Elephas maximus indicus: one gene and its partner. The protein of the gene in region 2 purifies or fractionates together with the protein of the main gene of each other region. This does not show direct contact. Links are inferred from orthologs where the notes say so. Each region holds a gene or a part of one and is shown on either strand. Other genes may lie near its edges.

Region 1 (6,963 bases), on a different chromosome or scaffold from region 2:
TAGTACCAAAGTTTTACTTTGATTCCATAAAAAGCTTAACCTGGGCAGAAAGTTATCAAATCTGACCACATTCTTCTCATTCCTTGTCTAACAAAAGAAGAATCAAAGTCTGGATACACAACCATAACTCACCTTGGATGAGAAAACTTTTAACTTCCAATCGTCCAGGAATTAATTTCTGTAGCTAACTTGTAGCTGTGTTCTTACTAAGATGTCAATCTCCAAAGGCAGCTCTGACTGCACAATTGTAACATAAATTCCATATTTTTTTAGGGAACATCGTATCTTTAGAAGCTAATGCACTGAGCCCACTGATCTGCTGAGAACCTCATCCAAACTGTCAAACATGGTTTATTCAACGTTAATCACCAAGGTTAAACTATTTCCCAAAGCAAGTCTTCCTTCATTGGGCCACTAGAGAGTGCTAGACATGCAGTTATACAGGAACTGAAGTGATCAAGAAAATGACTCCCAAAGATTCAGAGAGAATGGGAGGATACCAGTAAGAGTTCATGGCTGGTATTTTACCAAAAGGCACTGCGATAGTAACAGCCCTGAATTTTGAAAGAAACATGTATCATTACCTCTTTTACAGAGCTCAAGTTCTGACTAATGAATAATGTTAAGATGTGGTTCAGCAGCTTTCAAACCAAGCAGCTGAAAGGAAAAAGTAAAAGATTACTTTCAACATAGGAAAAAATTCTTTCCTTTAGGAAACAAGGCCAAGTTAATGATGGTTTCAGCTTGATTCCTTCAGTTTTGTTAAAAATGAGGAGAGGAAAAGAGCAGGAATTGCCTACTCAATGCCAAGTGGAAATCAATCTTACATGCTTAAGTCTTAATCAAGAAATTAGTTATACAGAGCTGCATCTTGGGAGAATAAGGTTACCACCTGTAGAAAGCCATTTCAATTCCCGCAATTCCATTAGCAAGTCATAATTTAATCGCTCCTGGACTCTCACACGGATCCCACTAGAAATCCACCTCACCTCAGATTTTTGTCCATGCTAAGAGGTAATGCTTCCCATTCCCTACAATATCAGTGAGACTGTTAGTTTTCCAATAAAAAATGCTATTCATGTGGAAATTGCCTAACAACTCCCAACGTCAGACTATATTCTGCAAAATCATCTTGTTAAATTGTCAAAGTCTATTCAGCTCAGAAGAAAGAATTTCTTATCTCCAAATCTTTAATGGCTTAATCACGGGAATGTACGTTATGTCTGAAAGGGCATAACACAATTTGTATTTCCTCAATGTCTCACAGAGGGGTCAGTTCCTTATCTTCGCACAAGGCATGCGACTCTAATTCCTGCTGCCTCACCTTTCCATCTAAGCTTTTCTTTTAAATGCACTCATTTAGCACAAGGGATTCTCCAAACCTCGATACAAATCAGCAGTCCCGGCTTCGCGGTGGCTCTACAGGGCGGCAAGGCTTGCTACATTTCTAACTGCCCACCCACTCCTCGCCGCCTCCACCCGCGTCCACGCCTGAATCAGGGGCGGGGAGGGTTGGTGGGAACGCCATCTGCCCATATTTGTTCCCGTAAAGCCCGCACCTGGTGCGGGGCTCTGCCCAAGGACCACAGTTGTAACCACGTCCTAATAGGCCCCGGTCGTAGCCATATGGCTCTTCAGTTTCCTTAGGCCAGACGGCCCGCCTCTGGACGTGAATGGACACTAGCATAAAGGGTACTTGAGAAGATGGCAGGAGCTGATCCACTGCAGGCTGCCGGAAAAGTCTCCGACACTGCTTCCCTTTATTGTCTTATTTTTTCTCAGTGCACCCTATTCCCACTCCCCAACACTCCCGCCCCTGTAGGGTTCCTCGTGTTGGAAAAACGGAGACCTTCTGCACAGACCCTGCAGGAGAAAGGCGCCTCTTCCCAGACTTGCGCTCCTCTCTCTCCACCGCTGGAATTGCACAAGCCCACCGAGACCCCGCCCTACCCTACCCCGCGCCCGAAGGGAGGGCAGGAGGAAGGTGAGGGGGAAAAGAAGGTGAGGGAAGGAGGGGAAAGGAGGAGGAGGGGGGAAAGGGGGGAAGAAAAGAGGTGGCCTGGTAGAGGGGGATGGGAGAAGAAGGGAAAGGGGGAGGGGGACGGGAGGGGAGGGAAGGTCAGGGAGGGTGGGGAGAGGGAGGAATGGGAGGGGGAGGAAAAGGAGGAAGGGAAAAGAGGAGGAAAGTGATGGGGGAGGGGGATCGGGGAGAGGAGGAAAAGGAGGGGGAAGGGGAGAAGGAAGGAGTGAAGAAGAGAAGGGAGGAGAGGAAGAGAGAGGAGAAAAAAGAGGGGAGGGGAGATGGGAGGGGGAAGGGGGAGTGGAGGAAAGTAAGGGTGGGGAAAAAGGGAAGGGAGAAAGTTATGAAGAGAACCTTCTGAGGAGAGAGAAGTATGAATGGTGGGGGAAGGATGGGGAAGGGGAGAACATGGAAGGCAGAGAAGAATGGGGGAGGGGGAAGAACGGAGGGAGGGCTGTCGCCCCTCCCCCTGCCGCCTGCGCGAATCTCCCCACGCGCCCCTCGCCCCCAGGGGGCTGGGAGCACCCGGCCACCCGCGAGGTGTGCAGCCCCCGCCCAGCTGAGGGTCTTCATTTGGGGTGTCCCACCTTGCGCTTGAGGGCCTCGGCGGTGCCGCTCCACACGAAGCACTGGTAGATGGCGCGCAGATTCTGCTTCCAGTTGTCCACCTTGAAGCTGCTCAAGTGCGAGCAGCCGGACGGCGCCACCGCCAGCTCGGCGTCCATGGCCTCGCCCTCCGCCTCGCTCCGGGAGGCCGTAGGGGGCAGGGCCCGGCCGCGCGCGGGCGGCGGCGGCGGCGACGAGGACGTGGACGACGCCAGGGCGGCGCGGGGACGAAGCTCGCAAGCGACCGCCGCGCTCCGGGTCTGCGGGACCTGGGCGGTGCCGGCGCGATTACTGCATCCCCCGCCGGCCGCACTGCGCAGGCGCCGCCCCGCCCCGCAGACCCCCGTCCCCGGCGCCCAGCGACCGCCGAGGCCTCCAGTGGTCAGGGCCGCGGGAGTGATGCTACCGAGGCCCCACCCCTGGGCCAGCTCCATTGGAAGCCGGGCCGCCACGTGGCCACGCCCACCACTGCCATTGGCTGCCATTGCAGTCCGTCTCTTTCAGAGCAGCGCCCAGTCCGCAGTGGCTCCGACTGTGCTGGTCTCCACCGATCGCCGGGGAGGTGGGGCATGCTGTGGATTGGGTGACGCGGGGTGTCTGTCAGGGCTCTGAACCGGTTTGCACCGGCCTGAGCTCTGCCGCAAAGAGGCGGAGCGACGGGCTGGGGGTGGTGCAAAGCCTGCAGTCTTGCAAACTGCTTCCTGCGTCTCTGAGAAATCCCTCGACCTGCTCTGCCTTCCCTGGGTCACGAGCAATGCCTTTGCCAATAGAAATTCCCTCCTTTGGGCTTTCTGCAGGGCTCTTCCATCTTTGCAGCCTATCCCACAGGCATCACAGCTCCGTAGCCATGAGTTAGAGCTGCCGGCTTCACCCGGTGTGTGGCACTGCCTCAAGGGAGCATACGGAGTCCCCTACACCAGGACCCCACCTTCAAGTGAGGGTCTCATCAACGCTGTCCAACAGAAATATGACGTGAGCCACATATCTAAAATTGTAAATTTCCTAGTAGCTGCATTTTAAAAAAGCAGGAGCTTTATTGACCATCGCCAAAAAGTGGCAACAGTTTAAAGGTCTGTCAGCAGATGAGCGAATAAACAAAACGTGACACACACGTACACAATGGAGTGTTATTCAATCGTAAAGAGAAATCAAGTTCTGATACATGCAACCACATGGATGAACCTTGAAAACATTATGCTGAGAGAAATAAGCCAGACATAAAAGGGCAATGTATAGATCCACATTTATGAAATAGTTAGAACAGGAAAATCCATCAGGACTAAAGAAGATTAGTGGTTTCCAGGGTCTAGGAGGAGAAGGGAAAAGGGGAGTTTAAAACAAACGAAAGAAACAGGCAAAATTAAATTTAATATATTTTATTTAATGCAGCATAGCCAAAATATTATTTCAACATGTAAACAGTATTTTTTCATTATTGATGAGATTTTTACATTTTTTTGCATGAATTTTTGGAAATTCTGTGTGTATTTTACACTTAGAGCACATCCAATTCATGCTAGCCACGTTTAAAGTGCCAGTGGCTACCACATTGGACAGTGTAAGTACAATCCAAATGAAACTTGCCGGTGAGTGGATTCTAACTCATAACGACCCTGTAGGACAGAGTAGACCTGCCCCGTAAGGTTTCCAAGGAGCTGCTAGTGGATTCAAACTAAGAACTTTTTTTTTTTTTTTTGGTTTTAAGAGCCTGAGCTCTTAACTCTTGCAGGACAAGGCTTCCCACCTTAGGACTGAGCCCTGCCTAAGTTCTTGCCTTCTACTGACCAAGAATGACCAGGAGAGGCTCAGAGGTTCCACATGAACAAAGGTTTATTGTGACAGAAAGAGCGTAAAGGCTCAGGAGTGGGGAACAGAGAGGAACCAGGAAACGCTAGCCTCTGTTACCCCAAACAAAGGTTTTGCTGGGGCTTATATGGGTTTGGCGAGGATAATAATGAATATTTAGCAGGTTTCTTTCAAGGGGCAGGTACTTCTCAGAATGGCAGTAGGTACTAAATTAGGTTGCATGGGCATCTGGAATCCAAGATGGAACTCACAGCAAAGGCTCCTGGGATTGGGTGGCAAAACTTATTACGGGGTGTCACGCCTACGCAGTCCCTCCCGTGGTGCTGGTTGGATTCCTGTCGCGGGTACTGGCATCAGGCAGAAGTCATCTGTGTGTCACCTTGCAGATATCCGCGCGTGCACCAGGCCCAGTTCCCCTGAAAAACATCTTACAAGGGAGTACTTTGTTTGTTCTTTCCTTATCACACATTCAAGGATTGGGGTTTTGCATCATTAGCCAAGCATATAATTTTTGTAAGTAAGTTGCAAGTTGCAGGGCTCCTTGACTAGGGGCTCAGTCGCTGTTTCTCCCCTATCTCATAACTCCTACGCCACAATCAGTACATAAGAAAACTGAACCAGGGCAGCCGGTAGAAAAAATTGTAAAGACAGTGCAAATGATGTCTTGGAGGAGTAAAGGCCCAATGGACCTGGGACAATATCTTGGATGAGGTGTGGTGCTACTTACCTATACTCATGGCATTGAGTTCTTTGGGAGATTAAAGAAAGCTGCCAGTTGCTCTCCAAGTATGCTACTGTGGAAGAGCTATCACAGTGAAAAAATAAAATAGTAACCTCTGGTATATAAAGCTGCAGGGTTTAATGGCTTGAGAACTGGAATAAAGCACTGTGGTTAGGACAAATTGCCAAGTACGCTTTTGCCCTATGTCTTAGTTTTCTAGTGCTGCTACAAAAGAAATACCACAAGTGGATGGCTTCAACAAAGACAAGTCTATTCTCTCACAGTCTAGTAGCGATTTAGGAAATAATATTGGAATCATTATTTCCTGTCCTTGAGCACAGAGAATGTGACCCAGCTGGAGCTGGGCCCACAAAGACTCACAAGGACACATCAGCTGGGCCCTGAGATAAAGAAAATAGATGGGACAATCTTGTAAATTATCTTTTAGGGAAGAAAAAAATCTCTTAGGGAACTTTTCACGTAAAGCCAACCAAACAGAACACAAAAGCCTTTCCACTCTTTTTCTGTTAGCATTTAATAATAATGTTAGCATATAGTGAATAAAAAATTTTTTGGACCCACGAAGACCCTCCTGACTGAAACCTGTACCAAAGACTGTTAAGAAAGACCATTCAAAATGTAGGATCACAGTTTCTAGCCAATCCATGAAAAGGTGAAGCTTTTAATGGTTTTGCCCACTTGTAATGTTAACATATACTGGTGACTCTGGAACTTTCCTTGGACAGGAGCAGACATGGCTGAGGCAGCATGCTTGTCTGTTTTTCCATTCTTGTTTATTCTGTAACATTTCCTTGGACTCAGGCAGACATGGCTCTGGCAACATGCTTGTCTGCTTCCCACTTTTGCCTTTTTTAATATATGCCGAATAAAACTTTCTTTTTGCTTTACTAAACTTTGTGATTTTTTTACCCTACGACAGTAGGCTAGACCTCTGAATTCAGGGCGTCAGCTCCAGGGGAAGGCCTTCTGTCTATTGGCTATGGAGGAAAGTCCCTGTCATCAATCTTCCCCTGGTCTTCTGAGCACAGGGACCTCAAGTCCAAAGGACGCAATCTGCCCCCATCGCTGCTTTCTTGGTGGTGTGAGGTCCCCATGTCTCTCTGCTCACTTCTTTTATATCCCAAAAGAACCCGGCTCAAGACACAATCCAATCCAGTAGATTGAGTCCTGCCTCATCAACACAACTGCCACCCATCCCCCCTCATTAACATCATAGAGGCAGGATTTACAACACATAGGAAAATCACAACAGATGACAAAATGGTGGACAAACACATAATACCAGGAATCATGGCCCAGCCAAATTGATACACGTATTTTTGGGGACACAATTCAATCCATGACACCCTAGAATCTTACACTTGCTGTGCCTTCTGCCTGGACTGCTCCCCACCCCACCCCACAGTCCTTGGCTGGTTCTCCCTAACCCTCCTCCCGGGCTTTATCAAACAACTACTCAATGAGGCCTTCCCCGCCATCCCATTGAAAATTTCAGTGTCCACCCACAAAACTCCGTATTCCCTTACGTGCTTTCGTTTTCTCCAAAGAAAGTATCACTATCTGACATAGTATACCCCTAGGTGGTACAAACGGTTAACATGCTTGGCTGCTAACATAGAGGTTACAAGTTTGAACGCACCCAAAGTCACCTCAGAAGAAAGGTCTGGCAACGATTTCCAAAAAAGCAGCCATTGAAAACCCTGTGGAGCACAGTTCTACTCTGACACACATGGGATCGCTGTGAGTCAGAATCCGTCCATCCCACTAGCATGAAAACTCAGTGAGGGTA
Region 2 (7,111 bases):
TTAAGCAGTATCTGTCAGGTGGCAGTCTTGGTCCTGCATATGGCTTAATCAGTGGTAAAGGGGTTTGATTTTTCTGCCTTGCAATATCCAATAAAAACTAAAAAAAAAAAAAACTATTAGAACCACAATTTCAAAAATTATAAGTACAAATAACTTCGAATGAAAGTTTGCTCACATCTCTCGGAGGAGGAGAGGTAAAAGATTGGTCAGCACGACACTGGATTGCCAGTCTCACATCATCTGCATCAACATTAGGTTTTTTAGCATGGCTTGAATAAATTTTTGCATCATCCAGAATTGTAGTCACATATCCTTTAAGCATAAAATAGTTTTTCTTAGACACAGGAAAACAGCTTAATATTTATGACCACTTTTCTTAAAAGGTTCCACTAATTTCTAGAAAGTTTATGAATTCTGGTGTTAATACCTAACTGTACTATCTATATGATCAATTTTAAACAGATCTGAAAGTATAAATTCTACTGTCTCCTAGCTTGAGCTTATTTTTACTGCTTTAGACAGAATTCTATTACATTAACTTAAAATAATTTGGTTGAAAATATGGTCTCGCCAAATTCACAAGTTAGGCAAAGTTTTCGTGTTTTGTTAACTTACGGAAAGCAAATTCCAACATTTGATTTATAACCCTTGGTTCATAGTCTGTAATGCCCATATCCTTCAGGATTTGCGCCATCACCTGTGGATTCAAATAAAAACACCAGATGCATAATAAATAGGTACTGGAAATCAAGGCTGGACCGACGGTTGTATTTATTTTACCATACATGTCCCCTTACTCTGGGCTCCAAATTCTCACGCATCCTTTTCCTCCCAAACTAATGTCTTGATCACACCAAATCACATGGAGTTCTTTGCTGGAAACTTTTTTTTTGAGGGGGGGTCGGGGCGGGGGCAAAGAGGGAAAAAAAAAGGCCTGGCGTTGGCTTTCCCAGCAGAGCGGTGGGTACAGCTGGTTGTCATTTTCAGATGTGGCAAAGGGGGAAACTTAAGCACCAGAACCCCAGACGCAGAGAGTCAGGGCTCCCGGATCCCGCGAGGGGGATAAGGTAACAGGGGCCGAGGCCCTGGAGACAAAGCCTTGTGGGCGACCTGCGCGCACTCCGTGACAACTGCGACCCTCCCGCGGGGTTCGGCCAGTTCGGCGGGAGAGTGCTTCAGGGGCCAGGGCGCACCCCTATCTCCCATTCCTTCTAGACGTCTCGGCCGGGCTGATGCTGGCACGGGCGCCCGCCCTCCAGACCTCTGCCTGGGCCTGACTCCCAAGTTCTGGGCCGTGCTGAGCTTCGTACCCCGTATCTCATCCTTCGCACTCACCAAGGCATCTCTCGGAGCGTTCTTGGGAGTCGCCATCTTGCTCGACTCCATGCTATCCGAGCTGCCGTCATCCGGTGATAAAGGGCAGCTGGCGGTCTCCTCACCCAGGCTCCACCCCTGGGGGGTGCAGAAGGCGGGGTTACCGCGCCGGGACCGGCTGGCGGCCGTTTTACAACAGCTGATGGGGGGCGGCGGGGGACGCTCAGTAGAGGCTGCTGGAAGCCGGGCTGGGCGAGAGCCAGAGCTCCGGCACCTGAGAGACTAGGGGCCGCCCAGGAGGACTGAAACAGGCGAGTAAGCCTTCTCCGCTGGGCCCTCACTGCTCTCTTCTTGCTCGGGGCGTACCAGAGACAAGAAGCACATTTTTAATACATGTCCCAAATATTGCATGGGACATACCCCCCCCCCCCAAAAAACCAAACCCACTGCCGTCGAGTCGATTCCGACTCATAGTGACCTTATAGGACAGAGCAGAACTGCCCTATAGAGTTTCTAAGGAGCGCCTGGCGGATTCGAACTGCCCACCTCTTGGTTAGCAGCCGTAGCACTTAACCACTATGCCACCAGGGTTTCCGCATGGGACATACTTATACTAAAATATTATTTTTCTATTTGACATTCAAATTTAACTGAGCATCTTATTTGCTAAACTTGGCAACCCTATCCTATAGCCTGCTCTCCACAAAGCAGGACTTTGGTCAGCTCCTTTCACACTGAAAGCCCTACCACATGGTTCCACATGATGAATGTAATTAATGTCATTGAGTTAACCGTACATGTAAAAAATGTTCAAATGGCAAATGTTATGTTTTACCACACACACACACACACACACACACACACACACACACACACACACACACACACACACACACACACACACACACGCCCTACCACGGTTACCCGTTTCACACCAATGAAAAGCTAAAGCCTCTGATGGCCTGCAAGAGTCCCTACTGGAATTCCTCCACCCTTGTCCCTCTGAGGCCTACACAGGGCCCTCACTTGCCTCCAGATGGCCAAAAGTGTAGTGACCTTTGAAAATCATCTATCCAGACCGAGTGACTTGAAAAACGTGCATCAGTTAACCATCGCTCGGTTAAAAGTCTTCCAAAGAATTATTTATTATCCCGCCACGCCACACAATCCAAGGCGCTAGCGTTTTCCACCTTGGAAAAAGGCACCAGGAGTCACTCGTGCTGGAAACGGCAGTCCGCCATGTTACCGCTCTCTCCCTCACGATCCACGTTCAAGCTAGCAGCAGGGCTACCGCCCAAAGGTACACCAAATTTATCCCCAACTCTGCATCTCAATCCAGTGCTACTACCCTAATAGTCCAAAGCCAACAGCATTACTCACCCAGACTACAGAAATAAGCCTTAAAATAGAGCTAGTTCTACCCAGCCCCCTCCGTTCGTTGCACAACCAGAGGAATCTCTTAGTCATAAATCAAATCATTCTCTGGCTTAAAACCCTGTAATGGCTCCCTCATTGAGAATAAAATTCGTACCAATTTTCGGGCCTAGTGGGCCTTTCAGTTTTTGGGTGCCAGCTTACCTCATCCGGCTCCTCCGTAACGGCTGCCCGCCAGGCAGCCATCTTGAACTGTGGGCCCTTCTGCCGAGATGCACGTGTTTCGAACACGTTGATTCTGACGCGAAGACTGATTCTGGCACGTGGCAAGTGCCTTTAGCAGACTTTTAGCATGGCAAACATTTATGTAAAATAAATAATTTTCTAAAGAGGTAATATACGAACAGGGTGTGAAGTGAAAACAAATACATATATGTGTGTATATATATATATATATATATATATATAAAAGAAGAAACAAGGATAAGAAGCTTGAGATATGTATATATATAAAAAGAAGAAACAAGGATAAGAAAGCCTGTTCTCCGGCCACTCATTTCCCTTTCATAGAAGGGGCCACTAGTTAACCAGTTTCTTGTCTATGCAATTTACAAATATTACATGTTTATATTTTGTTCCCCTATCCAAATGGTAATATATTCTTGGGGCCCTGAAGCTAAACCCATTGTCAGATGACAGGATTCTGATTCATAGGGACCCTAAAGGACAGAGTGGAACTGCCCCATAAGGTTTCCAAGGCTGTAAATTTTTATGGACGGAGACTGCCACATCTTTATCCCATGGATCCAACCTCCATTGGTTTCAACTCCGGACATTATGGTTAGCAGCCCAGTGCTTTTAACTACTGTGGCCACCAGGGCTCCTCACTCTTGGGGTGACCAGCCTTTAAAGAGCCAGCCTGGGACACACCTGTACTAGATGAAAAAACCTATAACATATAATGAATAATTATACACGTATGTGCCATTAGTATAAAACAAAAAAATTATTTGAAGTGTGTTTTTCTGTGTTATTGAATTTTTTGCTTCATAAAAAAAGATGCTATTATTTAAGCAAAACAATAGAACTAGTTAACAGTGACAATTAGTAGTAATTAATTGTTGTTGTTAGGTGCTGTGGAGTCAGTTCTGACTCATAACGACCCTATAGGACAGAGCAGAACTGCCCCAAAGGGTTTCCAAGAAGTGAATGGTAGATTTGAACTGCTGGCCTTTCGGTCAGCAGCTGTAGCTTTTAACCACTGGGCCACCAGGGCTCATAGTAATTAATAGTAGGACTAATTAATATGTGTGAGAAAAATATAACAATTTTTTTTTTGGCCTTAACAAACAGAAATTTATTCTCTCACAATCTAGGATGCTAGAAGTTTAAATTCAGGGCACCAGCTCCAGGGGAAGGCATTCTCCATCTGTCAGTTCTGGGGGAAGGTCCTTGTCATCCATCTTCCCCTGGTCTAGGAGCTTCTTAGCGCAGGGATCCTGGGTCCAAAGGACACGCTCCACTCTTGGCTCTTCTTCCTTGGTGGTAATGAGGTCCCTCTCTTCTCTGCTCACTTCTCTCTTTTATATCTCAGAAGAGATTGACTCAAGATACAACCTAGTCCTGTAGACAGTGTTCTGCCTCATTAACATAACTGCCTCTAATCCTGCCTAATTAGCATCATAAAAAAATAATTTCATAGAGGTTAGGATTTACAACACATAGGATAAATGCATCAGATCACAAAATGGAGCACAGCCACACAATACTGGGCATCGCGGCTTAGCCATATGGACACACATTTTGGGGGGACACAATTCAATCCATAACAAGGAACATGCTTATTTTTTACACAGCCAAATGATGCCTCATTGGCAAGATGCTTCTTATGCTATTCCAAACATATTTCATACCAAAATTATTTAAATGCAAATGTTTTGTCTGTTCAGAATTATTTATAAAACAATGGTCATTTAAAGAAAATGTAGTACTTAATGTTTCCTGAAGTGTGGGAACATTATTTTTAGATTGATTATGTACCCTTCCTGTAGAAGTATGTTTTTTGTCTTTTCCTGTATACAAATTTGGCAGTTTCCTTTTCAAAGGGAATCAACTAGGGATAACAGTTTTTGAAAAGTTTACCAATTATATACTTAATATTGCATGTCAGATTTGACTAAGAATTTTTTATTACTTTGTAGCTTTTTTACATGAGCTAAAGAGAGAAAGGGCCAGGAAAGGAGAAATCATTTGTACATCTTGCATTTGTAAAAAGGGAGACTTTATGATGAAATTCTAAACCTTGTGATGACTACTCAAATGTTTAAAATTATGAATGATTAAGGAAGCACTTTTGTGGTTATCACTTAAAATTGATATGACCTAAAATACATTCTTAATAATAGCTTCCATTGGATATGGTGAATGTTTTACTCAGTGTTTAACTTATATTTGTACTCTAGGGTGTGTGTTTTTATAAAATTCATGCATTTATGGTAAAGTCGAGAGTGTTTATACTATGATACAGTTGTAAATAATTTTCTAAGAGGGCTTTAATATAGTCTGCAGTTGTCCTGAAATATTTTTTTATTAAACTTGTCTGACTACTGTTCTTCCCCCTAGATTGGTACAATGTAGTAGGTAAGAATTTATTCAAAGAACTATGCCAAATTGATGAGAAAAGTACAGCTATATATAGTGGTGATGCTGTAATAAAGTTGTTTTATCTTTTAAATAAAAGTGTTGGAGTTGATCCTTGTTGGGAAAAAAAAATATCTCTACATTGGGCTTTATTATGTCAGGCTTGTAGTAGGACCAGAAAGAAATTGTCCAAGATGGTGCCCAGCTGCCACCGACGACCGCCCTGACAGGGAACACAACAGAGAATCCCCGACGGAGCAGGAGAGCAGTGGGATGCAGACCTCAGATTCTCGCAAAAAGACCAGACTTATGGTCTGACTGAGACTAGAAGGACTCTGGAAATCATGGTCCCCAGACCTTCTGTTAGCCCAGGACTGGAACCATTCCCAAAGCCAGCTCTTCAGACAGGAATTGGACTGGACTATAAGATATAAAATGATACTGGTGGGGAGTGAGCTTCTTGGCTCAAGCAGACACATGAGACTACGTGGGCGGCTCCTGTCTAGAGGTGAGATGAGAAGGCCGAGGGGGACAGAAGCTGGCTGAATGGACACGGGGAATGCAGGGTGGAGAGAAGGAGTGTATTGTCTCATTAGGGGGAGAGCAACTAAGACCACATAGCAAAGCACATATAAATTTTTGTATGACAGACTGACTTGATTTGCAAACCTTCACTTAAAGCACAATAAAAATAAAAATTTTTAAAAAAAGGAAAGAAATTGTCCAGCTATCATAAAACAGAGACATCTTTTTAAGAGATTTTGTGTGCATTTTTTTTCAGAATTGAAGGATTTTTTTTTTATTAACTTTTATTGAGCTTCAAGTGAACGTCTACAAACCAAGTCAGATTGTCACACACAAGCCTGTATACACCTTACTCCGCTCTCCCACTTGCTCTCCCCCTAATGAGTCAGCCCTTCCAGTCTCTCCTTTCGTGACAATTTTGCCAGCTTCCAACTCTCTCTATCCTCCCATACCCCCTCCAGACAGGAGATGCCAACACAGTCTCCAGTGTCCACCTGATATCATTAGCTCACTCTTCATCAGCATCTCTCTCCTACCCACTGTCCAGTCCCTTTCATGTCTGCTGAGCTGTCTTCGGGAATGGCTCCTGTCCTGTGCCAACAGAAGGCCTGGGGACCATGAACGCTGGGATTCCTCTAGTCTCAGTCAGAGCATTAAGTATGGTCTTTTTATGAGAATTTGGGGTCTGCATCCCACTGATCTCCTGCTCCCTCAGGGGTTCTCTATTGTGTTCCCTGTCAGGGCAGTCATCGATTGTGGCCGGGCACCAACTAGTTCTTCTGGTCTCAGGATGATGTAGGTCTCTGGATCATGTGGCCCTTTCTGTCTCTTGGGCTGTTAGTTGTCGTGTGACCTTGGTGTTCTTCATTCTCTTTTGCTCCAGGTGGGTTGAGACCAATTGATGCATCTTAGATGGCCGCTTGTTAGCATTTAAGACGCCAGACACCACATTTCAAAGTGGGATGCAGAATGTTTTCATAATAGAATTATTTTGCCAATTGACTTAGAAGTCCCCTTAAACCATGGTTCCCACACCCCTGCTCTTGCTCCGCTGACCTTTGAAGCATTCATTTTATCCTGGAAACTTCTTTGCTTTTGGTCCAGTCCAATTGGGCTGACCTTCCATGTATTGAGTGTTGTCCTTCCCTTCACCTAAAGCTGTTCTTATCTACTAATTAATCAGTAAAAAATCCTCTCCCACCCTCCCTCCCTCCCCCCCTCGTAACCACAAAAGTATGTGTTCTGCTCAGTTTATACT

Evidence for each region. The genes of interacting proteins can lie anywhere in the genome.
Region 1: the proteins of TAF9B (region 2) and USP22 purify together in Homo sapiens (affinity purification with mass spectrometry; 3 studies listed by BioGRID and IntAct, with this or other methods). This does not show direct contact. The link is inferred for Elephas maximus indicus from reciprocal best matches to the Homo sapiens genes TAF9B and USP22.

Annotation. Positions count from the first base shown.
Region 1 is NC_064820.1:215,908,449-215,915,411, forward strand, and holds the start of USP22 (ubiquitin carboxyl-terminal hydrolase 22), read right to left. Parts: upstream 3,017-6,963; 5' UTR 2,746-3,016; coding exon 2,608-2,745; intron 1-2,607. UniProt on the Homo sapiens protein: Deubiquitinase that plays a role in several cellular processes including transcriptional regulation, cell cycle progression or innate immunity.
Region 2 is NC_064846.1:89,599,976-89,607,086, reverse strand, and holds the start of TAF9B (transcription initiation factor TFIID subunit 9B), read right to left. Parts: upstream 3,010-7,111; 5' UTR 2,935-3,009; coding exon 2,893-2,934; intron 1,453-2,892; coding exon 1,336-1,452; intron 698-1,335; coding exon 616-697; intron 313-615; coding exon 176-312; intron 98-175; coding exon 1-97. UniProt on the Homo sapiens protein: Essential for cell viability. TAF9 and TAF9B are involved in transcriptional activation as well as repression of distinct but overlapping sets of genes. May have a role in gene regulation associated with apoptosis.